7 linked regions of the Oryzias latipes genome follow. The protein of the gene in region 2 interacts with the protein of the main gene of each other region in a pairwise test. Links are inferred from orthologs where the notes say so. Each region holds a gene or a part of one and is shown on either strand. Other genes may lie near its edges.

Region 1 (4,424 bases), on a different chromosome or scaffold from region 2:
AAACAAATGGTAACTCTGGTTGGGCTAGGTTTTCCGTTCCACGTGTGTTCCACAAACCCATGTATACGGCGGGACACCCTGTTATCCACAAAGATATAACGAATGATTAAAACATTGGTCTCTTATGGCTTTCATTCATTCATCTTGTTAGAATCCAACTTCATAAAAGTTAACCCATTTTTCATTCATTTTCTCTTTATGTTTTCAAAAAAAATTAAGACAACAAAAACCAGAATGTAAAGAAATAGAAGGCTCTATGGTAAAATAAAAAAAGGCCATTGAAAACTTGGAATAACTACATTATGAGTCATTTTTAAGTCCAGCGATCACCCTTTTCCCCCATCTCTGTACCACACTGAGGTCTGATTTGACCAAGTGCTGCCTTTCCCTTGCCCATCAGCAAACCCAGCGAAGGAAACCATGTGTCGGCCTTCTGGCTGCAGTATGTTTGCGTTTGCAAAAGGTTAGAGAATGGAGAGAAGCCAACCCCTGTACAGGGTTTCAAGTTCAGAGCGTTGGTAGACAAAAGCAGCAAAGCTTTCACAACTTTATTTGGTGTCTTTTTCTTGTTGGTCCTCCATAGAGTTGGATTTTTCTGGTGTTAGGGGCAAAAAATGGATACTTGGGTTATTGTTCTGACATGAAAATAATATCTACATTTTCATTCTGATATGCAAAAAACTGTATATAATGGGTGTTATACATATAGGGTGTTTTGAATTTTAAATAGAGTTTACTCACCAGAGTCACTGGTTGCATGACTTTCTAACTGTCGTGGAATGCTTGGTTGTGCTTGCCTGAAAGATAATACGAAAGTCTGGTTCATAAGGCACATTTCTCCTTTCTGCTCACTAAAAAAAGACCTTTGAACATGTGTACACATATTACTGAAAGTTTTTTTTTTTGTTAAATTCAAGTTTTACAGATCAAATCCTACCGATCAAAATAAGCTTGTCTCCTCTTCCTCAGCTCCTCAGCAGTAAGTGTCTCATTCTGGCCTGGTTTATCTCCACATGTAGAACTCTGTACAGTCCGTTTTTCGGATTTCACATTTCCCACATCAGACTCTGAAGATTTGTTACTCATGCCTGATCCTAGTTAAAGGAAAAACGTCAAAAAAAGGGTTAAAAAATTCCAATATAATAAAATATTTTCAAATCAGCCTGGAGCTTTGAAATGGCACACCTTGCATGCTGAGCTGAATGGCCCTGCGAAGGTCAGCTTCTTCATCTTCCACATCCATTTCCTGTCTGCTGAGTGCCAGAGCTCTCTTTAGTTCTTCATCGTCATCCACAGCCTCATCTGATACAACGTCCATTTGCCCCCGAGCAACGGATCTGCTTCTAAAAACAGACATGTATTATGTCCAAACAAGACCTAATGTAATCCAAGCGAGGACCATTTTCCACAAACCTACCCTGAACTTGTCTGAGCCTCATCCTCTCCAATTAGCCTGGGCCGTTGCTGTTGTTGAACCCGCATTATTCCGAGAATCTGCTCTGCTTCACATTCGGGAAGATTCCCTTGGATCACAAATATGGAATATCCTGCAGAAATACATTATTTTTGTATTTGTGTACCAAAAGGTGCAATAGTGTAAACAAGTCGGCTTTACAATACCTTCTTGTTGTAGCTGTGCCAGGAAAAGAGCTAAATATGTGTCTGATATCAGCTCTGGTCCAGTCAAGAGTGAATTCAAGTTAAACCACTGTAATAATAATTAAATAAGTAAATTAAGCATCAACACACGTATTGAAAAGTAAAAAAATAAAAATCGACATACCTGTTGTCCAAGCTTGCGTATGGTGAACCAATGCTCCTTATAATTGCAAATGAAGGCCTTCTCGTTTCTTAAAGGCAAAGACATCAAGTCAGGATTTAAATGTGGGTGTGGGATCGACTTGCTATACAAGGAAGTCTTGAAAATACAACTTTACATTGGATTTATCATCAAGCTCTGGTACTCCCGGCTATTGAAGAGAATTAACTCCAATCCCCACACTCGGAGAGCATTGCTAATTACCTATAAAAATCAGTCATAAGGAGTGATAAGACAATCTTGTAAAGTTGATTGCTAATGATCATATGACAAAGCACATAAACATACTTGTATTGAAAAGAATCCGCTGTCGTCCATGTTTCCAGATGGCTGCTATAAAGTTATTATTAAAACAGTTGTTTAAATACATGTACCACTGCAGAAAACATCTGTTACCTGTCCCCACTTACCTGTAAGAAGGTCCTGTACTCTTCACTACCCATACCTCCTTCTGCCATTCTCATTCTCTCCTCTTCGTCAAGCTGATGAGCAATTGAGGACAGGTCTACAGGGGTAAAATACTCCCCCTGCAAAAGGTTGTTGAGGCAGTGCTGGGCACATAAGGAACCCTCTTGCTGAAAACAAAGAATAACTGCGTAAACGTATTGAGAAAAAAAAAGGTCTCCACTTTTTCAAAATGGAGTGCAAAAACTTACAAAACCTTGGAGATAGATTATACAAAAAGCTAAAGCAACTACAAAAAAATAAATAAAAAATAAATAATGTTTCAAACATCTAAACAACGAGCAACATACAACTTTAGTATCCTTTTTCTTTAATAATTATTGGTGGAGTCGAAGTGTACAATAAATACCGCAAACTCGTTTTCTAACTTCATTCTATTAGCTTTTAAAGAAACTTAACAACACCTGGTTAGCAAGTGAGTTAGCATTAGCAGTCTGAATAAAGCCAAAATAACATTAGATTGAAGCTAGCACCGGCTAAACACAAACTCTAAATAAATGCTAAGTGTCTTTACTCTCTCCGACTACACACGAGTAAAGGCGTTCAGTTTAATGTCACAAGTAAATTGTTTAAACCTACTTTTTCATGAAATATGGAATCCATGTTTAGATTTCTGTCAAACATTCAACTTTGACCCCTACTCCTGTAAAGATGGGAACCAATCTCTATTAGCGCCCTCTATGGATCATTTTGGAGTACAACCTCGCTCCGTTCCAACAACCGAAAGGATATTGGTCACACAGGAAACCCCCCTCCTTTTTCGGCAAATGAAATATGGCAGAGAGTAAGAAACACCTTGACGGACTGGAGCTCAGTAAGGTATGGCGTTGCAAATTAAAAACTGACAGTTATTACCGAGATTCGGATATTTGACACGTACGCGTGGGGTTATAAAATGCTACACAGAAAACGGGCTCAACGCGCAGTGACGGTCCTAAAGCTAGCAGGCAGAAGCTGGAAACGGCTAACCGCTTTACTAGCTTAGAGATGCTACAAAACAGGTTTATTTTTCGGTATTGTTTAGCATCAGCGATTTGAATCTTCGTCAGAAACGCGATCTGTTTGCAGATGTGTAGGTCAATCTGATATTTTAGTACTTAGTTTTGTCCAAAACCCCGTTTTACGAGTTTTAAACACTGAGCATCAGTCCTGTTTTTTTGAAGAATTTAGTGAAAAAAAGTTGTATCTTTCGAAAAATGAATGTGAAACTGAACATTTATTACGAACCATAATTTTATCGTTTAAATTTTCACAATGATCCTGCCAACTATTTACATCCCGATTTGTTGAGCTAATCTTCCTTCACACTAACTTATCATTGGACTTTTATTATAAAGTTTATTATATCCTAAAAGGAAAGCAGATTTGGAGAATTCAGTAACAATGTTCTAGCTTTTCTATATACACATGATCATATGTTGTCTGTAGTTCAAGGCACTAAAGACTAGAAAGTAGGGGTGTAACGTTAAATTTTAACCATGATTTGATTCATATCATTATATTTTTTAGTTGCTGATATGATTCATAGGTGATATTGGTTCATTTTGAACGATACGATTTATAGACTGAAAATCGATTCAGGACATTTTAGCCAAAAAATCAACCAGTGTGTGACTCGGTGATAAATACCTGGGTACTGTAGAGCAGGTGAAGGATTCTCCTGCAAGAATGTGTAAATTAAATAAATAATAAAGTGTGAATTAAATATGTGTACAAGCAAACAAGTGAACAGGGATTAATGGCAAATCCATTGACATTTTAGTTTCCTAAAGTTCAGCCCACAACAAAATAATCTAAACAGAACATTATTAGAACATTCTACCACACTTTATGGTCACATGTCTTTGTAAAAAGTGTTTCCACACATTGGACTGTAATTATGGATTGATCCTTTTTTGCAGCCATCACATGTGTGTTGTCCTCTGTGATGACACCGATTCATATTTATGTTGTTGTGAAATAAACTTACCGTGCCTCAATCCAGATGGTATTCACTAATATCAGCTCTAATCGATTCATTTTGAAACAATTTTATAATAGTAAAGGTCGATGCAATTATCAATTTGCCTCGGACAGATTGATCTGGTTGGATTATATCTATAAGAAACATAATAATGCTGCCTTTGAAGTTAATGTTTGG
Region 2 (4,495 bases):
AAAAACACTAACAGTAACACAGTAAGAATAATTCACTTTGAGTCAATCAAAATATTGACGAGGCTATTCGTGACAAACTAAACATCCCTGAGCAGTTAATCCATATATTGTTTCCCTTTTTTAAAAGGTAAACTGAAAATAAAATTGTGGTAATTTCAACTTCCGCAAATCTTCTTCTACTTTTTTAGATTTTGTTGGTTACAATGTTAGAAATTCCCTTTACCGCCACCTACCGGATGCAATGCTCAAGCAGGATGTGCACACATCTTTTATTAGTTTTTATTCCAGTCCCCACTAAAACTATAGCTCAACAAATAATGCTGCAACTCTATGTGGAAGGCCTATGATTGGGAGACAAAAAATTAACAAACAAATTTTTTCGAGAGATTTTAAATAATTCATATTACCCTTCACGTTTAAAAGAAAATATATTTTGAAGAATTACAGCACCACAGAAGCTAAAAGGATATGAACATTATATCTATCATATCCTATCCCTCACAAAACAAAAGATGTGAACTTTAAAATATTAAATGATATATACTCTTCCAATCATTTTTTTACATTCTCGCTTTAACTGGGATGGTGATCTTTGTGTCTTTTGTGGAAAGGATGTAGAAACGGTGGAACATTTTTTCTTTGAATGTTTGCATGTAAAAGAGTTTTGGTCTTCTTTTTTTCATATTTGGCTCAAATCAATAAATATCATCATTAACCCTTTAAAATCTGGACTTTCTGATTTATATACTGGTTGTAATTTCGAAGCATATTATACATACTTGTAAATCCTTAAAGGTGAAACCTCACATTAATGGATTACTAAACCGTCTCAAATTATTCTTTAAATCTTTACATTACATGAATCATAGAATTGACATTGTATAATTCATTGATTTATTTAAACTTTTGCAAAAGCCCCTTATTTTTATTTATTATTATTTTTTAAGTTACATTTGTTTTCATATTTGTTTTTTGTCTACCTTTATCTCAGCATTGATATTGTTGTCATTGACAAACATGCCGTGATTGTTTGTTATATAACAACAACAACAACAAAGTTTTGTCACATAGTAGTGTTTTTTGAGAAGACATGAAATTGTATTTAAAATAAAAGAAACAAAATATGAAGATCCCACTGTGGTAAACTGGCTCACGTGTGGAGTTTTTAAAAAAAATATTTAATAATAATATTTTCCATATAATGATATGAATAAATTCTGATGTTGTAATGGATAAATAAATAAGATTTATAGTGCTTAAACTGTGTGGTCTGACAGATGATCTGCCTAATTTTAAAACTATAGAGTAGACTATTAATTAAAGGCATAGCAAGCCTGTTTGATGCAAAAAAGTACAGACCGCTTAACAGCTGAACTCAACTTTCATTACAATACTTTTTTTTTAATAAACTTTATTATTCAACACAAATAGAACAAGTATGTATGACAGGAACAATAGTCATAACAACAACAATGTCAGGGGATGGTACATGTATTACAAAAAGATTACAGATGCTATGAATTAAAAAGCAATTGCCAATAATGACGTGAGTATTAAACTTTATTTAAAATTCTATTAAAATTATGGGTCGTCTTCAAGTCTCGCGAGAATACACTGGTTTTCAAATGGGAGACAAACGTTTTTTTCTTTTTACCCAGAGTGCAGCGTCCATTCGGTCTTTCACAGGCAAGCTAAAATGGCGTCAGCTCCCGGTAAACGCAAAATTTTTACCAAAGTCACGATATTTACATTTATTATTCTTTGGAATTAATCTGTATTTGTTATTTAATGGTTTTGCATGTGGGTATTTTGTAGTATTTAGCGTTTATGTGGATTGTTTAAAAATGTGCCGTGGCGTGGACGGTGCAAGCGGCTTTGTGGTAGGCCTTGTTGTTTCGTGAGCTTCAACCATTTTTGCCGTTTTCAGTCTGTAACCTTGTTTTTTGATAATTTTTATATTTATCGTACATCCTCATGCTTAAAGAACTCAATCATTCATTGAACATTGTTCATGTAGTGTGTCCTTATCTTTAGCTAACAGGCATAGCATTAGCATTGAATTGTGACTCAATTGGCCCGTAACGTGCTAGCTTAATGGCGCGCAAACGAAACGTCGATGTTTCGTCGCATTTTAATTTAAAGTATTTTTTTTATCTTTTGTTTATAAGCAGATTACAGTTCCTACAGTCAGGCCAGTGCTCAACCAGGGTAAGCATTACTTTGTTTTATACCAATAAAAATTAAAAAGAATTATTAAATTAGAAGCTCTTCAGTCAACAACAGCCAGGAAATAAAGTTAAATTGGTTGATACCCATGTCAAATTACAGAACAGCTTTGGAAGTCTTTTTTGGATATTTCTTTTGCAGGTATGCCTCTTATGGCACCCAGCCATCACAGAGTTATGGACAAACAGCACAGGTGAGATTTGTAAAACAGCAGTTTGATGATGTGTGAAAACTACTGTATCACTATTTGGTCATATGCTGGCTCCTCTGTTCTTAAACCCGTTGAATCTTGCTATAAAAGAGCAATAAAACTGCTGGACAAGAATCACCGTTCCTGCCATCATCAGTCACATTCTTAACAAATATAAAATTCTAGGTTTTGAATCTTTCAAATCGGTTTTTCTAAGGTCCTTCGTGGTTTAGTCCCTCCAATTTTTAATCACAAATGACAGTAACCAGAACATTTTATGACTAGACATTGATTTAGAAAAATATATAAAGTTAAGATTTATACTGTTTATATTTTGTGTTTTCTTTTACCTCTGTTTTATATTCAATTTTCAACGTGTAGGTTCTTCTTAAAATCAGTTTTTGTTTCTTCAGTAACATTTACCTCCCAGGAGACGGCATATTGAAATTATCCTGTGGCCAAAATCCAACATCTCTTTTTTAAATGAATGCATATCAAACGCAAAGACTTTAATTAAGTTTAATTTATTTTATGTGATATTCATATAATTTATATTTATAAATGTAGGTAGTTCCTGGTTGCATGTGCTTGCCTAGCAGCTAAAGTAGGCTCTGTTCTAACAGCAAAGTTATGGTCAACAGAATTATGGATCATACACCCAGCCTGCTGCAGCTGCTGCAGACAGCAGCTACACCCAGGCGACCCCTGCAGCTGCAGGATACCCTCAGCAGCAACAGCAGTATAGCTCCTCCTATGGACAACAAGCATCAGGTAGGTTTTTCTCATCAGTGATCCCATTTGGATTTATTAAGACTGATGGATTGATAACAGTCTAAATGAATACATGATATTTGCTTCTGCTTTTAAAGTTTGCTTCAAACTGGTGCCTGCATTTAGCATGAAACTTATTTCTCCCCAGCTGCAGGCTATCCCGCTGCTCAGTCTACAGCTCATGGCTATTCGCAGTCAACTCAAGGCTATGGAGCCAGCGGGTATGATAGTACTCCAGCTGCAGCTACCGCTCCAGCCGCATCCCAGTCGTATGGCTCCCAGCCAGGCTACACCGCCCAGTCCGCCTACACTGGTTATGGTCAACAGGCAGCTCCAGCTGCACCGCAGAGGTAAATGTGCCTCCTTAGGAAGAAAAAATAATCACACCATGTAAATTCTTCAGTTGACTTGAAGTTATAATACACGACTCATAAGGATGATGTAATGTCTCTGTGATCATGATCAAAACAGACCCCTTATTTATTTTGTCTCTATAGTTACAATGCTAGCAATCAACCAGCTAGTTACAGCCAGAGCAGCTACTCACAACCTGCGTCATATGGACAACAGCAGGCTGGTTACCAGGGTCAACAAGCAGGTTACAACCAGCAGCAGGGTTACCAGCAGCAGACAACTCAACAACAAGCTCCACCTGCCTACCCTCCTCAAACTGCTGGTTCTTATGGTCAGCCTCCAGCCAGTCAGTACAACACACAAGGTGGACCACCTAGTTACAACCAGTCCAGCCATTACAGTACGTTTTATGTTGTGCTTTAACTCCATATATAAAATGGAGCTAAAGAACAATTTGGTTTGGCTCTGTGCTCACCCTACATGGTGTGATCTGATGTTTGTGTTGTTCCTTCATAGGTAGCTACAGGCAGGATGGTCAGGGTGGAAGTTCTGGTTATCCTGGCTCTGAGCCCGGAAGGTACTCAGGCCCAGGGGACAGCAGAGGTCCTGGCAGGGACGGCTTTGACCGTGGTGGCATGATGCATCGTGGTCGCGGAGGCATGGGGCGTGGAATGGGGTAAGTGTGCTTCCTTAGTGTCTTCCATTGTTTTGCCTCTGCAGGTGCTGTAACCATTTGAGGCAGGGCTGAGACAAGTCATTTCAGACATTTGCAATTAACTTTCTTGTAGATACAATGCAGCATTGAGTTATTTGTACGCTGTTACTGAAATTGACTTTTGTTTGAGTACCGGGGTGTTGAATCTCAGTTTCAGAGAGCTGTATCCTGCTTGTTGGATATGTTGCTATCTCGATTCGGTAGCAACATAGAAGGGGGAAAATTACATTCATCACTGA
Region 3 (4,229 bases), on a different chromosome or scaffold from region 2:
GGTATCGGTCAACCATCCCCAGTGAAAGCAAAATAGACTTCAGCTGCGAGATCACAAACTCAAGTCCTGCAAAGAAACAGACACAATTCTTAAACATTTCAAAAACAATAAATACATCATCTCAGCCTGCACAAGTTGAGATCTATAGATGATCACGTTTTCTGGAGTTGAGATGTCTTACCCGTCAGGGACCAGAGGCTGTAAGAATTGAGATGCTGTCGAAAAGTTTCCTTGGTTGCCTGTGGAATTTCAGGACCCAGAATGCTCGATGAAGATCCAATAGTGACATTGTATCTGCCATGCAATAGTACAGAGAAAATGCATAATAATGTATGGTTTACTGAGACAGTTCCTACATCATTTGGAAGTCTACTGCACAAGATGTGAAGATTAATGCTTTTGTTTTATTTTTTTTACCGGTTTTCAATCCAGTGCAGAACCGGATCCCACTCGTTCTTCTGTAGGTCCACTAAACCAGGAGGATCCTCCACTCTGTAACTGAATCAAAGCATAAATAAATCACTGTTTTGTGACAACAAGGTAACTTAATCTGAAAATGAAACTTAAAAAAAAGAGGCAGCCAAATGGCAGATGCTATAAGAGAGCAGCACAGCCTGCTCCACAGTCAGGTATATGGCAACCATCTCCGGTGAAAACAAAACAGACCTTGCTTTCACTTTACTGGCCAGACAATGATGGTCCTATTAAAGAAATTAGGTCAAAGAAAAAGTTTGTTGCATTCATTTTCACAGTAATTCTTTATTTTTAATGCTTTGGAGTCTGGAATCATCTGACAATGGACCGAGAAAAAAAAGTTTCTCCTGCAAATATCTAGTATATGAAATTCATAGAAGTTCCAAAATTCATTTCTTTTATTTTATTTCCATAAACAAAAATGCTAGTTTTCTGCAATAAGCTAAAAACATCTGCTTTCTTTTACAGTGGCATTACAGTTTAGTGCAAAATGCTACATTAGTCAAATAAAGGGAGATAACTAAAAATACACTGCATAATTATTAATAATAATCACAATAACAAAAGGATCAACACAAAAAAACAGTAAAATAAAATTGTTAATTAGCTAAAGAAATTAAGAAAGTGAACGTTGCTAAATCCTAAGCTAATATGCTAAAGTAAATAGAAAATGTAAAAAGATATATAGTGCCAATAAATGTATTACAAATTCACACCTACACAATAAAGTAGCTAAAACATAATAATTGTAAATAAAAGACTGATGCAAATCTGTTTGCTAAAACTACTAAGGTATCCATAAAACAATTAAGCAGACAAGTGTAAAGAAGTTGAATATTTCAGGACCACAATAAAATGTTTAAATTAAATTCTGAATAAGATAATAAGTTTTTTTTAAATATGTGTAAAAAGTTAAAAAGACAAGGGAAATAAATAAATATGTAATATATAAATTTAAAGAACTAAAGGGATTATCTAATACATAGTTGACAGTTAAACAATATATCTCATTATACAAGTATAATTTATAATAATGAAAAAAAAAGTCTAAATTATATTAATAGGTTCGAACATTTTCAAAAAGCTAAAAAGTAATTGCATTTTGACTATTATTTGCAAAAAAAATTGCAAAAAAAGAGCACAGAATGGCAGATAACGTTTTATTTTTTACAAAGAGAAATAGAAAAAAAAAAAAACATATTAGATGTAGTTGCATCTCACAAGTCCAGGATTTGTTTGGGTACTTTTTATCTAAACAAACCTAATTTTGAATTTTCTATTGTTTTGGTATTTCTGTTAGGTGCTTTTATTTTGAAGTCCTTGTTGCTTTTCTCTCTAGATTAAGAACATTTTTTCTCCATTCAAGTAAAATATTGATTTGAAATACAGGTGTTTTATCTTTTAAACTGAGTAACCGGCATAAATGAGCCAAATAATCATCAACTCTGGACAGAAACAGTATAAAAGCTAAATCCATACCAGATCGTGTCAGTCTCCAAAAACTTCAACGCTGAATTGATCATTTGCTCCTTGTTGCGTTGGGTGGGGTTGTCCAGAGCCGTGTTGCACAAAGTGGTCTGCAAGAAAAGTTCAACCGGCATATGAGTACGGCTGGCTACACACTGTGGTGTAAATAGGTCAGAAAAAATATCCCATACAAGGTGCATGGTATAAAACTTGAGTGTCCCCCTCTGAGCATCCCACTCTGTTGCCACGGCGATAGCCAGGGCTTCATTTGGTACTGTGAACAGCTTCCCTCCTGGAGTTTTGAGTTTCCTTCTATCCAGATTTATTTCATACAAACCATCTATGGACAAAATCGTCACAAAATTAGAGAATATAATCAATCTTGGTCTTCCCTGGAACAATAAATAAAATTATTTTAAATTTTAAATAAGACTCACCATCTCCTTGAGATATGCTGACATCTTGATAAAATCTCTTCCTCTCTGTCAAATAGCAAAACATGTAGCACATGATTAGCACACAGCATATTGATAATTAATAATAGTAATGTCAAAATAAACACGTTTACCTGTAGATGCAGTGGAGTATTTTGACAAACACTTGGAGTACTGATGACTGGGACACGACTTGCAAACTGAAATTACATTTCCAAAGGAATTTCGAAGTTGAAAAACACGTCTAAACATATTCATACCTAAATTTGGACGTATACTGTTTACAATAAAAAAGACGATTCACTAGCGATTTCTTAAGCCGGTCTCTCACGCACTAAAGTACCACATTGAACAAACAGATCTTGAGTGTATAATGAACCTGACTCTACAATAAATCTGTTGTTAAACATTAAGGTTTTCATCTAGCTTACAGTAACACATCGGTTCAAAACCACGCGTGTGACCTTCGATGCTACAAAGCTACAAAATGTTTTCATTGCATGCTTTGGGAAATGTAGTTTATTTTTGGCACTGCTAACGCTTACACATCACTTAAAAACTACATCAAAAATGTTCACGAATACTCTTCCGCCTGCTCAGCCAATGAGCGTCGACGATCTTCGAGGGTGAAGTTGTTGGACCAATGAGATAAGCCGTTGCTACTGGTTACAGCGCAGCTTCGAAGTCCACTTTTAGTTCTGGGGAGCTTGATGCTTCGCAAACTGAACTGTGGCGCAATTAAGAGCAATTTGAATGTTTGAGGACCTCCTCGGGACTTTCTTTCTGGCTGGTCGTACAGGTTGACCGAGTCCCGCTGCCGCACGGCCGTTGACCGCGGTTGGAGTTCAGCCTGCGAAGCTGGAGCTATGCCTGTCCCCGCTGGATATCTCAGCGAGTTCCCGGCCGCGGCCTTTGCATCCTCGGCCTCGCTTATCCCGCTGCCGCCGATAAACACTCACCAGCCCGGTGTTGTCACGTCGCTGCTGTACAGCGGCTCCAAGTTCAGAGGCCACCAGAAAAGCAAAGGGAACTCCTACGACGTTGAGGTGGTCTTACAGGTGGGGGGCACCGAGGCGGAAATGTTGCTTTTCGTACTGCGAGCGCGAGGCTTTCGGGTGATGTGTCAAAGTGGCGGCTGGAAGAGTGACAGCTGAAAAAAAAAGGGGGTCCCGGCCTGTCCTGGACCAACTGTGGGTGTAGTGGTGGGAGTAGCAGAGCAACTGCGCCCAAACAACACCGACTAACAACAACCAGCTGCACAATTTTCTACCAGTTTAAATTAACACAAACTATCACAACTAGCTTAAATGTTGCAACATTAGGGGCTGTTGACATTTTTTGAGAAACTGCAGCTTCTGACCGTCAAGTTTTGTTTTTGTTATTTTTTTTAACATAAATTCAGTGGAGATTTGACCTAAAAGTTCTGTTTATTATTTGTTACAGCATGTCACAATGGAGGATTCCTACTTGTGTGGCTATTTGAAAATAAAAGGACTCACAGAGGTCAGTTCTGTTCATATTTAGAGGATTCATGTTGGAATATGTACATGTGGATGAACTGGACTTAGAATTTTAAATGTTTTTGCAAGTTTTTCCTCCACCTTTTGTGTAATTTTTCTTGCAATGACTAAATATTAGTCCAACTGATCGTGAGCCAAATAATTCTACATAGTTTTTTGTTTTGTTCTGCCTCTGAAGTGCAGATATTTTTAATTAAGGGATCGATTTGCTTAGAATATTTTTAAACGTCTTAATTTTCTATTAATGATTTATACATAGCGATAACCTAGCCTTAACGCTGTAAAGTTTACAAAACAAGATTGTTGGTATAATCCAGTTGCACATTTTCGTAGG
Region 4 (4,173 bases), on a different chromosome or scaffold from region 2:
AGCCGTACACGTTCTCCCACCCTGAAACAGACCGCGCAAACGTGACTCCCCCACCGAGACGGAGCCAGCCCCGCCCCGGTCATGTGACCTACTCACAGTGGATTTTGTAGTCCTTGTACTGCCGGTCTTCAATGGCCGTGACGTATAGAGTAGCTCTGTCAGGGAAAATGAGTCCGTCCGGCTTCTGTGAGGGAGGGGGACATGAGTGTTAGGAACACACTCAGGGGTTACATTTAAACATCTTCAATGAACCGATCATGACTGTGTTCACAGCAGAAGCTCCTTTCTAGAGCCACCAGGAGGATCTTTGAGGGATTCCCAGAATTCCAGCCGCCAACCTTTGCCGTCAGCTCAGCTTTGGTAGAAACTTTTATCATTGAAATGTCGTACTTTTGTTAAGACCATTGACTGTTTCAGAGAACTGGACTGAGTAACCCCTCCCTTCTGGCATTCCAAACAGGAAGTGACTCCAAGAAGCCAATGTCCCATAGACGTCTATAGAGAAACAGACAGCTGTTCGTCCTGTGTTCTATTGGTCAGAAGAACCGTTCTGGATCTGATGCCTTTTCCTAACAATCTATTGATAATTTAAATATTTTTTCTGTAGTTCAAACAATAAACTGACCAATCAGAAGCCTCAAAAGTAGGTTGTGTTAGAAACGTTTGACAGATTTTCGTGTAGCCCACTTTAAGTGGTAGGGGTGTGGCCTTCCAACATGCTCTCTTCTGATTGGTTGTCATAGAAACAACTTAGACCAATCATTGCTCACTGACATTGTCTGGCTTCAACATGGCAGCGTAAAAAATTTAATTTTGAACTTTTCTATCGTTTGACGTAATTCTAGGCCTGCACAAAAAAAAAAATCAAAAAACAATCAACATGGCCATATCAACTTGAGCAATCCCGCATTGCAAAGAGGGCGTAAACGTTGACACATATGCACAGTCAGACAAATGTTTAAAACACACCCAACCACAAATTATCTAGTCTGTTCTTGACCGGGTAGATGGGGGCATTTACCCGCTTACCCATCTCCTATTGACAGAACTGGCAGTACAGTTTGTTGACTTATTTTAAAAAATCTCATTATTATATCAATTATATTGTTGTTGTTGTTTGTCTGTTGCAATATTGGTGGCTAATTTTCTTCATGCCATGCAGCTCCATGTCCCGCTCCCTCAGTCCAGGTCTCACATACAGTCAGTGGTTACAGTTACTAGTTTGGAGGAAGCGCTGACGTCCAGAAGGAGACACCCACCAGCCACTTGTCGCGGGCGTAGATGACTGTGTTGAGCATGGACTCGTAGAACAGACAGTAGCCCATCCACTCCGATATGATGATGTCGACCTTGTCCACCGGCAGCTCCACCTCCTCCACCTTCCCCTTGATGATGGTCACAACTAGAGACAGAAGAGGTCAGGACCTTCCCTCCACATTCAGCGGTCAACACCGGACGGCGGTGGACTCACCGTCATCCATGTTGTTGGCCTTCACTATTTTGACGGCGTAGTCAGAAATGCTGCTGCATTCTATCTGTAACGGCAGAAGCACACGGATGAGACAAGGCGCCGCAACCGGGCGCCGCCAAGCCGAGTCCACGCCTTCCTACCCCGATGACTTTCTTGGCTCCGGCTTTAGCCGCGAACATGCAGAGGATGCCCGTCCCGCTGCCCACATCCAGCACCACCTTGTCCTTGAACAGGTGCTTGTTGTAGAACATGGAGTTGCGGTAGGTCAGGGTCCGGACCTCGTCCTTCAGCATCTCCTGCAGGAACAGAGCAGAGGGCGATTGAGGACGCGGGCACCGGGGGCCGCAGGTTTAACGGGACACGAAGGCGTACCTCGTGGATCCCAAAGTGGGCGTAGGAGTCGAAGTAGTAGTCCTTGGATGTCATGTCTTCAGCTGCAGGCTTGGCTGAGCTCTCTCCCTGAGAAACCTCAAAGGAGGAAAAACCCCATGAATGTCTGCAGATCAAAGGAGTCACGTGATCTGGAACCGCCGAGGAGCCGGTCCGGTTCCAGGCAACACAGAAGACAGAGAAACAACCGATCCGTTAACGCTGCCTCAGAGGAACAAAGGACGTGGACCCGATGCCCCATGAGACCACCGGAAGTTAGAGTTATCCTACCCCCCACCCCCACCCGGTAACGTCGGTTCGGTCGTAACAAAGCCACACGTGACGACCAACTTCCAGAACAAGGTTCTGTTGTTGGACCAGCTCAGAGACCGGGACACTCAAGAGGACGGCAGAACCGGTACCGAAGATTCTAGTCTAGTCCGGGATGAAACAGTGGGACTACCCGCTCGCCGGTTTTCCACTCCAGGCTCGACAGAAAAGCTAGTTCAGGTTTCCGGTAAACCGGCACCGCGCGGGTGGAGTGACCCACGTGGAGCTCCGTAGTGGATCACGTTGATCGAGAGTTTTAACGTAAACTCTGGCAGACTAACGTCCGGCGGATCCGAGCTCAGCATCAGCGTGTTAGCACGAGCTGCTAATTAGCCCGGCAGCTAGCACGTTAGTCTCCATGCGGTCCGAAGGCTCTGCCGGTTCCACCGCCAGCTGCGTGCCTGCCGCCCCCCCACCGTCGCTTCAGCGTCGAACCGAAAATACACACCAGACCCCACCGTAAACAAAAGCCAGTTTGAAGAGTTTAACCGTTTCCCCTGTTTTTCTCGTAAATGCGACACTGTGATGAATGAGCGGCGGCAGCATCCGGAAACTCCAGCGCTAACACCCCCTCTACACCGGCGAAGCGCCGCTCCGGAGCCTGCGGGAAAACTCGCGGACGTTTCCTCGAACACAAATGAGCGTTTTTCCCGCTCAAAGACCTCACCTCCATCCTCTCTGCTGGCGCCGCCATTTCGATCTACAGCGAAGAGTCCGTTTCTTCTTCTACTCCGTCCTTCCTTCTCTTCCTCCGTACATTTAATCTGAATCTGCGTTGAAGGCCTACACCGCCACCTACTGTACAGACGGTGGAAATACCGCTTTACCCGTGAGACATTTTTTCTGCATTTTGCCCCTTTTACCACCATCTGGGGCAGGAATCACTAACCTTCCTGAGGGTGAGGGCTATTTTATGGGCTCCACAGGACCTGTTCACTATACATTTACCAACGTTTTCCCAAAATAAACTATAAAAAAATGCTACAAACACTTTAAAAAGACAATTTATGAATCCACTGGGTAATGATAATGAAACTGCTGGTTTATAAAAAAAATGAAATAAAAATATTTTAACAAAATGTGTTAAAATATTAAAAACTGTTAAATAAAGTCTATCTATCTATCTATCTATCTATCTATCTATCTATCTATCTATCTATCTATCTATCTGTCTGTCTGTCTGTCTGTCTGTCTGTCTGTCTGTCTGTCTGTCTGTCTGTCTGTCTGTCTGTCTCTCTGTCTGTCTGTCTGTCTGTCTGTCTGTCTGTCTATCTATCTTTCTTTCTATCTTTCTATCTATCTATCCATGCTCACTGGTTTTTCGTAGAGACTTCTGGGATATTTCTAGGGCCCTGGATTTTGAAATGTAGATTTGTAGACGCACTATATAGTGAAGGGATTTGGACTCAACGATTTTCTCACTTTCACACAATTTGGCAAAAGAAAACTTTTGTTTAAGCAATTACAGTTTTTTTCAGTCGCTTTAGTACAATTGTCAGATCAGAATGAAATTCCCAAAACTATTTGTTCAATCTTCACATCATGATGTCACTTGTGCACATCATATAAGCAGTTTCTCACTTCTTTGAACAAGTTGCAATTGCTTTGGTACATCCATGCAAATGATTATGTACAATTCTCTGCTCTTTGCTACATTATCAATTGTTTATGTCATGTTGATCAAAATGTATTATATAGTTCACTGTGCAATAGTCTTACTCCTCAAAACTCCTAGTCATTAGTTCATCGTATAAGTCATTAACTGCAAAATGGTTGACCAAGTTGTCATAATGTGACAATCATATTTCGCTGCATTGCAAGAGAGGATATTCGCTGTGATGTGGATGAGAATTTGTGGCCTAACATACAGGAACGACAAGAGGTGTAGGAAGACCACACCAATTCCTACTGCACTGCCTGGACTGTTGGACAGAATATTGTCCTATCTTTTTTCCCCTTTGTGTTACTGTTTGCAGTGGGTTTTTTCTATGTTGGTATGACAT
Region 5 (3,719 bases), on a different chromosome or scaffold from region 2:
CCGTCGTCTCGTTGGTCGACTGCCGAGACAAAGAGGTTTGGCAGAGGAACGGAGGCGAGACGGGCCGCCGAGCGTTCGCCGGCAGAACTCACCAACACGATGAGCTCGTGCGTTGGCGCGCTGTAGAAGATGCAGTTTGCTCCGATGGCTTTCCTGAAGTCTTTGTGAACGTTGTCGTTTGCACAGCTGTCAAAAAGGAAAACCCCGCTTTGATGCAGACATCATTTATGAAAACAGAGGCAGAATGGTTCCACGCTGAGGGAGGAACGCTCATGCAGCGAGCAGACTCACATGTCCCTCAGGTCTTCTGGGACGGCGATGGGGACTTTGTAAAAAGTGTTTCTAGAGGAAGGGGTGTTGGGGTTCAGCGGTCTGATCCGCTCCGATGTGACGATCTCGTTGTATGTGGCGTCGCACGCCGCATATTCGATTACGTAGAACTGGAAGCAGCAGAGAGAGAAGCTAAAACACCCTTTGCTCATACATTGCAAAGGTAAACCCCTTTTGAACAGCGGCACAGCTGGATGACTGAAATTCTCTGTATTTTGGACGCCGCCAGTCGTCCTCGCGTCTCCAACATGTTTGAAATGCAGCTTCTGGTTGGAGGACCTAAGTGAGATCACGTCACGCCGATTTCAGCGTCGCTCTTGTTAGCTGGCTGCGCATTTTAGGGTTCCTTCTGAGATTTGTTTTTTAAATCTTTACAGGGTCTGTACCTCTCAGAGCTTCCCTCTCCTTACTCGCCGGCCCGGTGCCTCAGATCAGCTGATCAGCTGCTTCTAGAGGTACCGAGGTGCAGACGGAAGCTCAGAGGGGACACAGCTTTTGCTGCCGCTGCTCATAAACTCCATCACCGTCCATTTTCAAAACCCGTTTGAAAACTCATATAGTGTCATTGTTTTTATCTTTCTATATTTAATCTTGTGGTTGATGTGTTTTTCTTTTATTTCTTGTGTTCACCACTTTGTGTCGGCTGCTTTTGTATGAAAGTGCTATTTAAATAAAGTTGAGTTTGAGGTCGTAAAGAAAAAAATATATAAATATCCAGGTATTTAACAGCTGGGCATCGATCAAAAATAAAAGCTGAGACAGACGCAGCGTGACCGCTCCCCCACAGCTCCAGGCTCAAAGAGCTGAATTAAAGTCATCCGTCAACGCTGGACATTCCTGCAGGCTCTTATCACTCTGCTCCAAATAACAGCAGCAGACCTGCAGCAGCTCTCCAGGCTCCGTATCAGCGCAGATCTGCCCTTTCCAGAACTCCGCCTCCCATCCTCAACCTGCAGCTCAGACGGCCGACTAACTCCCAGTTAAAGCTGCATAAGCAGCAGAACTCCACACAGACGTTGGTGTGGAGTTCCTTCATCCAAACCTCCGGCGGGTTCATCTCCTTCAGCCTAAAAGCTTCCGCCACGCCGGATCTTCCAGCCACGGTGTTGGAATTAACTCAACAGAAACAGACCCTAAAGCCACAGGAGACGCCGGGAATGAGGTTTCCTCGTCACGACGGGCAGAAACTCACCTCGCCCTTCATCATTCTGACCCGCGCCAGCCACCAGCCGCATGGCTCCTGTTCGTTGGCCCTGGAGTACACCTGCCGGGAAAAAACAAGCCGTCACCCACCGGATCAAAAAAAAACTATTCTGACTGAAAAGGGTTTTTTTAACATGGTTTTCTCACGATGACGGACATAGAGTCAATTTAAATTGCATTTCTTTTTTCAAATCACTGTGAATCAGGAGCAGACAAAAAAAGAAGAAAGCTGAACGGGTCACAAGCAGTTTCTGCAGAAATGTCCCAGGAAACCTCAGCTTTTTGGATTTTAGTCATGTTGGAAAGAAGGCTCTGAAAATAGATGGAAAGATGATTGGAGTGGGACTTTATCAGAGATGAAGGTGTCAGAGCTGAACGAGGAGAAACACTCGTGATCGGTGATCGATACGGCCATGACTTCCAATCCATCAACAGATAGCAAAACAGCCCATCATTTCCATTTGACTGCAAGTGTTTTCTGTAAATAAACCTTTAAATAATAATATCACGTGTACATAGGAGGAGGATTTAATTGATTCAACTCTTCATGATGCCAACAGATGGTTTTGGCGTGCAGGTAAACAACATTTAAGCCAACCGTTCACGCCGTGTTGTGCGATAGGCGTATTGCACAGGCTGATAAAAAGGCGTGGATTCAGAAAGCAGAGATCACACGCCAAGACGCTGGCCGGTCTTGATGATGTGATGCTGAGGAGAATCAAAGGAGCGCAGCAGTTCTTACCTCCACCTCATCACCCTCCCCGATTTCCTTGTGGTAGTCGGCTGGGGGGGGCAACCGCACGTCGCTGAAGGGCAACTGTCTCTCTGGCTGCCAGCTGTGGCGGGACGACACAAAGCAGAGTCAGCCCCCCGCCAACAACAGAGAAGGTTGGTGGTCCCGGTTTTACCGCACCGGGTCACCAGATCTGGTGATGCTGCGGGTTTCCCATCGGCGAATGCTGCTCTTTTTATTGGACCTTTTACAACTACGAGGCCGGAAACACTTATTTTGTCATTTTATTCACATCTTATAAACAGAAATAGAATTTAAAGATTAAACGTTCTTTTTAAATCCGTATGTCTGTCAAAACAAATGCATCTTTCTTGCACTTTGCTGTAAAAGCGGCACCTCCACATGCCCTAAAGAGTAAAAAGAGAAGCCCCCCCCCACCTCGCATACTTCTGATCCCTATTTTTAGGAGGCGCCCGCTGCACGCCCTGCGCCACGCTAAGTGAGGCTAAGTGCGGCAGCAGAGGTGTGGTTAATAGAAAAGGACAGTGGAAGGGGCGAGGAGTCGCCACCGTTCCTGTGTAGGAGGGACGGTTAAAAAACGGGCAGGCGTGTACGGGCAGCTTGCTGATGGGGGTTCCTGAGGCCCAGCGTCCACTTCCAACCATCATTTAAGCAAACATCAAACCCACGGGGTCATAGAGACAAAAACTCACTTGTTTTCAAAAACGATTGTGAGGGAGTCTTCATGGACGTCTTTGATAAAACCCTGAAAGAAAAGAGAAAAAGTGCCGATGAGAGAGAGTGACGGACTTCATTTCCCAGCAGCCCTTTAGAGCGGGCTGCAGCATTGGAGCAGCGGCTGTAAAAAGGAGCATCACATCTCCGACGCCGTTCTCTGGCTGCGGGTTCAGCGCTGAGCAGTGTGAGGAGAAACCGTCTGCCACACAAACTGCGTTCAAGTGCTCGCTCTCTGGCTGTAAACCGGCGGGAAAGGCTTCCAAACCACGCCGCTCAAGAGGACAGCGGCAAGGCGAAGCTTTCATGAGCAGACGCCCCTCAGCCCGGCAAAAGCTGCCCTTTAGGAACCAGACGGGTCAGGCGGCTGGAAATGCTGGGCCGGGTTCAGCGAAGGGCTCAGCTCAGGAAAAACACCTGCACAGAAAGCTGAACGTGACACTGTAACTGCGTGCACGTTGGATGAGCTGGGCGTGGCGCCTGATCCACATCTGGTTTGTCACACGTGTGGCTTCTTACACCTCGAGTCATCACAGTTTAGCTGCAGATTTCACCAAAGGCCTCGCTGTCATGCATGAACCGCGTCTGCAGGAGTGACTGAAAAGGCGTGGATGTGTCGGAGTGGAGGACCGACAGATTCCCAAACACAAGTGGAGGCCCATTCAATCAGAACAGGGTCTGACTGTGGACCCAAAGGGCTGCAAGAGTCCCAGACCAA
Region 6 (4,425 bases), on a different chromosome or scaffold from region 2:
GGCATATTGCGATGTAACACAGATACAAATTCTTCAGCAGCCAGAGCTTCCCTTTTTTGTCCATCACATCCTTTCTTTCTGCCTCCCTGTCTTCTCATTAGGAATCCCTTTGGCTTTTATACCTAGCACGTTGTCGAGTCTTACCAAGAAAACCTCTGGGATCTATTAAGAGCTTGCCTTTCTTGTTTCTGTCTTCCACCCACTATTAAAAAGACCCACTGTGTTCTTTATTCAAAGGAAACTAAAAGCACACCCAACAGCTGCCTGTTCTGTCGGTCTCTGCAGCCATTAGGCTCACACCATACTGACAGTAACTGAGTTTGTTTCCCTGAAGGAAATAGTGTTGGTGGGAATAGGGGGGGATTAGCACCAACAAACCGAAAGGAACTTACAGACAATGTTATCTTGAAAAAGGTTTTGGAAAATTCCCAATGTTTGACTTCTTCCTGATAGATCAAAATGATGCAGGAACCTTGAGATTTGCAGAAAAAGAAAGATAAAAATGAAAATGTCATTCTGGACATTTAATTTAAACAAAAGGTTTTCACATCAGGATAGTTTACTGCAGTAACACTAAATAAATTGGGAGACGTTAACCAAGACTGTTGTAAATCCATATTTTGTGGTTTATTGTGTATAATGTGAATAATGAAGGATGGCATTGTATTCTGCTCAATGATAAATCGCCCCTGAATCTATAACAAGTGAATGCATTTTATCTTGTTGTCCACCAATAAGCATGATGCTGCATTTTTACGCTGCAAAGATGGATGGGAGAGCTCTGTGACAGTGGATCACAGAAAGAGCTTTCTTGTGCTGCCTGTTTCTTTCTATATGCTCTGTGCTGATGTGGGAAACATGATTGACTGCTCTGATTGGTATCTGTTGTGGATGATGTGAAAAGTTGAAGTTTCAGAGGTGATCTTGAAACGAGATTCTCTAACTTTATCAGGGAAATGCTGCAAATTTTCTCAGCAACTATTGAATATCCACACTGGAATGTGATGTTAATTAGGGCTAAGTGACATTCAAGTGTGCTAATGAAAAACTCAAAGAAGAAAAAAGGGGGCATTTTAGTTTGCACATATTTTATTGGAATTTTGGCTGTGTGAGTCAACACTGACTGAAAAAGTATTCTGTGTAACAGATGATCTACACCCCAGCAAGTGGCAAAGGCCATACTGTGAGGTGTTTCATCAACACATTTCAACAGTAGTGCTTAAGGGGCTGGAAAATCAGAGCACAGCAACCCTCAGAACCGTTAGAATATGAACACAGCACAGTTCTTCCATAAATACATAAACAAAATGGTAAAACTTGTCTGCTTTTCTTGATTAAGAAATGTAAACTAAACTAATCTGCCTAGTAAAATCACATGATCAATTCAACAAAATATATGGTAAAGTACAGGAAAAAAGTGTATTTAGTTTCTGCAATGTTTTTTTTCTAGCAAAATGTAATTATATTTGTGTCACATTTCTTTATCCCAACGCTTTGTGTGGACTTTGATTATTGGAAGCTTCATGTCCATTCCAGAAATGCCAAAGTTACTAACTTTCAAATTAGTATCTGTGCGTGCTTTGGGCTAGTGTGCTTCCTCTTGAAGTATTATATTCTTTGAATATAAATGAACACATGCACAATGAGGATCTTTGGCGGAACATTATTGTATTCTGCTGTACATTTTTCTAAAAAATACAGACAGCAGATATTCAGTTGAATAATCTGCAGTTCTTTCTGGTGCACTTTTGTTAGTTCACATACATCCAAAATTAACAATTAAAGAGATACCCTGCAGTAATTGTGTGTGTTGGCGTATTATTTTATGAACTTTTAAAGAAAGGTTTATAAGAAAAACAGTTGTCTTTACACCAAAACCATGAAAAAATAGTCTAAAAAAGAGACATGGACTGCAACGAATCAATACAACAACAAAATTCTATACGAATAAATAAAAAAAAACAACATAAGAAACAGCAATTCAAACATATAAAAAAGGCTTGTATATTGTGATTGAACATGATTTATCTTGTATATTTGAACGTTTTATTTCTTTCTATTGTAAACGTGCATCTAAAAAATATTTGCAAACGATTCTTACAAGAAAAGCAGCCACTATGTTTTCACTGAGAGCTTGATCCATCCCGTCACTCTGCTAAAGTGTTGCACTTTTGCCTGCAGCACCTAGAAGCTCTTTCACTGAACATGCTGGCTTTTTTTCTCAACTTCAGTCATGCATTTTTCTCCTTTTAACCTCAACTTTCTTTGCTCAGAAAATCTGTCGAGTTCTGGACTGAAGCTAAAAAAGTGCAGTTGAGGGCAATTACTCCAAGAAGCACAAAAGGACAAAGAAATATGTGTCAAAATCTCCACAAACCTCTCTGTACTGGACTGAATTGAAGATGCTTTGAGACTAACAGAACGGGGACTGGTGCCCAGCAATCTGCAGCGTATGCAGCAGATTGTAGACAAAAAGAAAGAAAGAAAAACCTGACTTACCTTCTGCCAGTAAACGCACCGCGTGCACAAAAGAGGGATCCAGGCTGTTTTTCTCTGCCACCAGTTCAGGTAAACACTTATCTGGATGCATTCTGATCACAGCTCTTCAGCAGCGGAGCAGGTGTGTGATCACTGGAGTGCTGAACGTCGGAGTGCAGCTGTACCTTCTTCCCCTCTTGCCTAACAGTGGCTGCAGTTGCTTTTATTGAATAACAACAGAGGGGAAACGCCCAGAAAAAAACCACACACCTCAAAACGTCCAAAATACCTGACCAGAGGCTGAGCAGTGACTCAGAGGTGTGAGCCCATCCCGGCTGCAGCTGCCTCTTGTCGGCAACCCGCCAGACTCCCGGGCATCGCTGCGCGCGTCCCCGCCCCTTTCACACGATTGGCCACGTTGAAGAATCAGTGCTGATGAAAAGCTGAGGAGTTCCCTACTGAGGGTAATGCAACACACAAGTTCGTCTTATTAGCACCACCAGCCTGAGAGTTCAGCACGTCCAAGAGGAAAATGTGGTTTTAATCTGAAATAAATGAACCAAGTAACAAATACAGAGTGAGTGCATCCAAAATGAACTTGTCAATTCGATTATTTAAGATTAAAGTGAAAACTTGCAGTTTAATTAATGTCACGCAACAACTAACCTCTTACAACACTCGGCTGTGTCCAGACAAGCCAGACTGTCCGCTGGTGTCAATAATCCACATCAGGGTGATCCGCAGAGCCGCGGCTCTGTTTGTGTCGCTGTCCATGGTGCTGATCTGATTTGAGACTCACAGAAGCTCGTTTTTTCTCATTAGGTTTTGCCTTCCAGAGTTCAAAGTTCTCGGAGATAGGAAGAGTTTCTTTATTTAATTGATTTATCTTCTATTGTTCTTCCTTGTTGACATTTTGTTTCACTGCAGATTTTCACTTCAAATAAATAAATAAACATCCATCTTTTCATCTGTCTTCTAATCCAGTTTTATCCATTTCAGTATCAAGGGCTGCTCGAGCCTATCCTGGCCACTATTGGGCGAAGGCAGGGTTCACCCTCGACAGGTCGCCAGTCTGACGCACATTCACACACCCATGCACACTTGCATTCACACTTAAGGACAATTTAGACCTATGAAGCATGTTTTTTGACAGTGGGAGGAAGCCGGAGTCCCTGGAGAAAACCCAGGCATGCATGGGGATAGCTTGCAAACTTCTCACAGAATGGTCCTCCATTTGTGATTCTGTTTCAGGTCCCCCAGCCGGGACTTGACCCTTCTTGCTGTGAGGCAAGAGTACTAAAATAAAGGGGGGAAAAAACAGACAAAGTTATCAAAGAATCAATTGTCTGTTATGATGCTGCATTTTGGATAAGGCAATTTTCAGCTTCTTCTTACTATTATACATCATCTCAAAAAACTAAGCAAAAATCAAGCAAACACTGTGACATGTTTAAAAAATACGAGAGGACTTGAGTCGCATTTGTGTTTCATGAAGAGACTTGAGCCTTGAATTGAGACCTAAGGTTTGGGTCCTGATAGCAAAGTTTATTTGTTTATTCTTTTTTTGGCAACATAATCTCTCAGTCAGGTGTAAAAATCAAAGCTTTCTTTAAATGATTTTGAACTGGAAATGCACAAGCTGTATATAGATATAGACTTATATATAGAAATATAGACTATAGACCTCAGACCTCACTTGGACTTGCACAAAGGGACTTTCGAGCATTTCTGGGAAGAGATGTAATAATATTTGTGTCTCATCTAAAATGTTTCCTTGCTCTCCAACATTATTGATATTAACTCGAATCTAAAAGCCATTTCCTGCACAGCGTGCCGGCTGCTTTCCTTCCTCCTAAAATGCATTTTATCAGATGAGGCTATAGAACCATCAACACTAGCTATACTTGACCTTTACAGTTGCTTCTCTGTGAACTAATCAGTAGAAAT
Region 7 (2,440 bases), about 500 kb from region 2:
TTGCACTCGTCCTCCACCCCACATCCATCCACCCTCATCAATACTGTTTCAATTGAAACGCACAGTGCTAATTAAATTCCAGCGAGGGTTGGGGGCAACAGTGCAGCATGCTGAGAGCGGGTAGGGGGTGGGGGGCAGCTGCCCTCACATAAAGAAGGAGGTGACAAATGCAGCTGACTCACATGTGTGGTCGGATTCGGACTCTTCAATCTTCATGACATTTAAAAAATAGAAAATGAAATGGATATTCAAACCCGACGGAATCCCACGTGACCTTTTCCCCATATGGGGGATTTTATAAACAGGCCTGTCATGTGTGTCTGTGGCATTTGCAGAATATGTTGCTATACTTAAAAGAAAAAAAAAAGAGGCAATAAGTGGAGGGTAATTTTGGGAAGCTACAGTGTGTGCAATGAGCGACCCAACCGGACACTAGATGCTGTTTGTTCATATTAGAGAGGCGCTAATCCTGAGTCTTCAGAGACGCTGCCCACTTATGCTGTCCTCCCTGTTCTATTAGCACACACAACAGCAAAAAATGACGAGAAAATACTTAACATAACTGAAATATTACAGTTTAATTATTTTTAAAGGTGTAAAACTAAATAACTATACTTCAGTTAAAATCAGAATGACATACAAATATTTTCAAGGATTTATGTCATGGATAAAACTTTAATATCACCTTTGTCTTTTAAAAGTTTACATCCAAATTGAGGAAGAATTTAACACTGAATCTTCCTTCTCTACCTGTAAACCGTTAAACAGCATCTGTGCTCCTATACTGCCACCTAGTGGACAAAGTGCTTCATAACAGTAGGTATAGCATTGAAATGTTGCAGCAAGTTTTTGATTCATGTTAGTTTAAAAAAAATTAGCCATGGAAAAGATACTTTTTCTTCATGTCAGACAACATTTAAAGCTTAAATCTCCCCTTAGTAAACCAATGTTTTGCTACTCCCTGTAGCAAATCTCCTTAGTGAGCTCAGTACTGCTCTAAAATTTCCAGAATTTCCTCCTTCACAGAGGAAGGGGAATGCTGTTGAACACCTGGTCCACCAATACTCGTTTCCCAGCAGTCGAAGCCGCAGTCTTTGAGATCCTGCATGGTGTTCTGGACCACTGAAGAGTCGGTTTCTGCAAAAACAAAGAAAAGAAACAAAACAAACAATTTTAAAAAGGGCAACAAGGAATATAATTATTAAAAATGGTTTTGTGCAGTAAAGCATTATTCAGGTTTTTTGTCCAAAAAAGATAAAAAGTAGGTTATATATCCAGAAACATCAAAAAGTCTTTAATTGGCAAAATTCCTGTAATATCTCCCATCTGTTATTGTTCCACAGCTGAGGAAAGCCCAGTGCCAGATCAACATTAGGGTCACAGCTGCACAACAAAGAAACATCCCATTGAGATGCTTTAGCTTCAAATAATCCAAGAGCTGCTTCAGACAAAAAAAAATTATTCATATCCTCCTTCTACTCGTTAATATAAAATTATTCCAGTAGAAAACAAACAAGAACTGAACGACATCACTTCAAAAACTATTTTAAATATAAAATTTGTGACAGAGATTTTGGAAAAGTTTTTTTTTTTTAAATGAAATTTTTTCCCCCTTTTTATTTCACAAGTACAGATTTAACAGCAGCGTATAGCACCTGGTCTCAGCAGCGTGATGCCACAGCCTCCACCCCCTGCGCCTGTTAGCTTGCTGTGGAGCCCTTTGGCCAATGTGACCCGGCACACAGTGTCCAGAGCCGGATGCCCAACACCCATAACATTTAGATGGTGCTGGTTGATATCAATCAGCTCCTGAAAAGGTAAAGACAGCTGAAAATGAAGCCTCCTGAACATATGCGCTCAAAGTTTAAGATTCTTGGAAGTAACAGCTTATACTTTGTGCATATAAGTACTTTTTTTTAAACAGATAATCTGTACCTCTAGAATACTGTAGTGCTCTCCTGTGATCGGTTCGCACGTCAGGACTTTTTCACAAGTGTAAGAAATGGCATCAACTGAGTCAAGAACAGGATTCATTATTGAGGGAAACTGGAAAAAAAAAAAACACAAACCCATTTAATATGTCTAGCTTAAACTCCATTAGGAATGTGTGATGAAGCAGGAATTGTTGAGGGACAGGTTGTGCACGGATTACAAAATTCCCCTGTGGATTGTCCTCAGCATTGCCACAACACCATGCAGGGCCCTTTCAGTCTGAGGCAAACCTCTGAACACCTGCTGGTGTCACCAAGGAAACCGCACAGAAGGATGCTGGCTAAGAGTTTCATTTTAATATTTTATGGGGGGACTCGACCTCGGCCTCTGAGGCATCTGTCATGCAAAAGCACTGCCCGTTATATTAACTATTGTGCCGACAGGTAAGACAAGGGGGACAGGGGAAAAAACCTTTAGTACCTTGTTAATTTTGTCCTTCACCCTGGCA

The links.
Region 1: the proteins of ewsr1 (region 2) and ataxin-3 interact in binary tests that used the Homo sapiens proteins (3 or more experiments, as listed by UniProt). The link is inferred for Oryzias latipes from reciprocal best matches to the Homo sapiens genes EWSR1 and ATXN3.
Region 3: the proteins of ewsr1 (region 2) and atpaf2 interact in binary tests that used the Homo sapiens proteins (3 or more experiments, as listed by UniProt). The two-hybrid records come from large-scale screens. The link is inferred for Oryzias latipes from reciprocal best matches to the Homo sapiens genes EWSR1 and ATPAF2.
Region 4: the proteins of ewsr1 (region 2) and prmt1 interact in a two-hybrid assay, tested with the Homo sapiens proteins (2 studies listed by BioGRID and IntAct). The link is inferred for Oryzias latipes from reciprocal best matches to the Homo sapiens genes EWSR1 and PRMT1.
Region 5: the proteins of ewsr1 (region 2) and fragile X mental retardation syndrome-related protein 1 interact in a two-hybrid assay, tested with the Homo sapiens proteins (2 studies listed by BioGRID and IntAct). The link is inferred for Oryzias latipes from reciprocal best matches to the Homo sapiens genes EWSR1 and FXR2.
Region 6: the proteins of ewsr1 (region 2) and khdrbs2 interact in a two-hybrid assay, tested with the Homo sapiens proteins (2 studies listed by BioGRID and IntAct). The two-hybrid records come from large-scale screens. The link is inferred for Oryzias latipes from reciprocal best matches to the Homo sapiens genes EWSR1 and KHDRBS2.
Region 7: the proteins of ewsr1 (region 2) and mvk interact in a two-hybrid assay, tested with the Homo sapiens proteins (2 studies listed by BioGRID and IntAct). The two-hybrid records come from large-scale screens. The link is inferred for Oryzias latipes from reciprocal best matches to the Homo sapiens genes EWSR1 and MVK.

Annotation. Positions count from the first base shown.
Region 1 is NC_019880.2:12,489,032-12,493,455, forward strand, and holds the start of ataxin-3, read right to left. Parts: upstream 2,953-4,424; 5' UTR 2,909-2,952; coding exon 2,864-2,908; intron 2,395-2,863; coding exon 2,230-2,394; intron 2,153-2,229; coding exon 2,108-2,152; intron 2,024-2,107; coding exon 1,938-2,023; intron 1,851-1,937; coding exon 1,784-1,850; intron 1,709-1,783; coding exon 1,621-1,708; intron 1,548-1,620; coding exon 1,418-1,547; intron 1,344-1,417; coding exon 1,186-1,343; intron 1,095-1,185; coding exon 938-1,094; intron 798-937; coding exon 742-797; intron 596-741; coding exon 549-595; 3' UTR 1-548. Other genes in the region: E3 ubiquitin-protein ligase UBR1, read left to right, coding at 3,059-3,103. UniProt on the Homo sapiens protein: Deubiquitinating enzyme involved in protein homeostasis maintenance, transcription, cytoskeleton regulation, myogenesis and degradation of misfolded chaperone substrates.
Region 2 is NC_019867.2:12,693,694-12,698,188, reverse strand, and holds the start of ewsr1 (RNA-binding protein EWS), read left to right. Parts: upstream 1-1,646; 5' UTR 1,647-1,696; coding exon 1,697-1,712; intron 1,713-2,168; coding exon 2,169-2,208; intron 2,209-2,367; coding exon 2,368-2,419; intron 2,420-3,057; coding exon 3,058-3,187; intron 3,188-3,335; coding exon 3,336-3,537; intron 3,538-3,684; coding exon 3,685-3,941; intron 3,942-4,057; coding exon 4,058-4,217; intron 4,218-4,495. UniProt on the Homo sapiens protein: Binds to ssRNA containing the consensus sequence 5'-AGGUAA-3'. Might normally function as a transcriptional repressor. EWS-fusion-proteins (EFPS) may play a role in the tumorigenic process.
Region 3 is NC_019877.2:3,256,477-3,260,705, reverse strand, and holds the start of atpaf2 (ATP synthase mitochondrial F1 complex assembly factor 2), read right to left. Parts: upstream 2,878-4,229; 5' UTR 2,634-2,877; coding exon 2,510-2,633; intron 2,424-2,509; coding exon 2,379-2,423; intron 2,282-2,378; coding exon 2,133-2,281; intron 2,052-2,132; coding exon 1,954-2,051; intron 499-1,953; coding exon 418-498; intron 295-417; coding exon 182-294; intron 67-181; coding exon 1-66. Other genes in the region: gid4 (glucose-induced degradation protein 4 homolog), read left to right, coding at 3,242-3,433, 3,819-3,878, 4,229-4,229. UniProt on the Homo sapiens protein: Plays a role in the assembly of the F1 component of the mitochondrial ATP synthase (ATPase).
Region 4 is NC_019866.2:24,804,254-24,808,426, forward strand, and holds the start of prmt1 (protein arginine N-methyltransferase 1), read right to left. Parts: upstream 2,961-4,173; 5' UTR 2,865-2,960; coding exon 2,838-2,864; intron 1,940-2,837; coding exon 1,844-1,939; intron 1,768-1,843; coding exon 1,612-1,767; intron 1,536-1,611; coding exon 1,472-1,535; intron 1,403-1,471; coding exon 1,260-1,402; intron 185-1,259; coding exon 97-184; intron 22-96; coding exon 1-21. UniProt on the Homo sapiens protein: Arginine methyltransferase that methylates (mono and asymmetric dimethylation) the guanidino nitrogens of arginyl residues present in proteins such as ESR1, histone H2, H3 and H4, FMR1, ILF3, HNRNPA1, HNRNPD, NFATC2IP, SUPT5H, TAF15, EWS, HABP4, SERBP1, RBM15, FOXO1, CHTOP, MAP3K5/ASK1, MICU1 and NPRL2.
Region 5 is NC_019876.2:28,857,036-28,860,754, reverse strand, and holds part of fragile X mental retardation syndrome-related protein 1, read right to left. Parts: intron 3,033-3,719; coding exon 2,980-3,032; intron 2,370-2,979; coding exon 2,276-2,369; intron 1,595-2,275; coding exon 1,523-1,594; intron 441-1,522; coding exon 292-440; intron 187-291; coding exon 93-186; intron 20-92; coding exon 1-19. UniProt on the Homo sapiens protein: mRNA-binding protein that acts as a regulator of mRNAs translation and/or stability, and which is required for adult hippocampal neurogenesis. Specifically binds to AU-rich elements (AREs) in the 3'-UTR of target mRNAs.
Region 6 is NC_019873.2:24,545,793-24,550,217, forward strand, and holds the start of khdrbs2 (KH domain-containing, RNA-binding, signal transduction-associated protein 2), read right to left. Parts: upstream 2,862-4,425; 5' UTR 2,591-2,861; coding exon 2,500-2,590; intron 1-2,499. UniProt on the Homo sapiens protein: RNA-binding protein that plays a role in the regulation of alternative splicing and influences mRNA splice site selection and exon inclusion. Binds both poly(A) and poly(U) homopolymers. Phosphorylation by PTK6 inhibits its RNA-binding ability.
Region 7 is NC_019867.2:13,196,979-13,199,418, forward strand, and holds the end of mvk (mevalonate kinase), read right to left. Parts: coding exon 2,413-2,440; intron 2,047-2,412; coding exon 1,936-2,046; intron 1,810-1,935; coding exon 1,656-1,809; intron 1,138-1,655; coding exon 986-1,137; 3' UTR 554-985; downstream 1-553. UniProt on the Homo sapiens protein: Catalyzes the phosphorylation of mevalonate to mevalonate 5-phosphate, a key step in isoprenoid and cholesterol biosynthesis.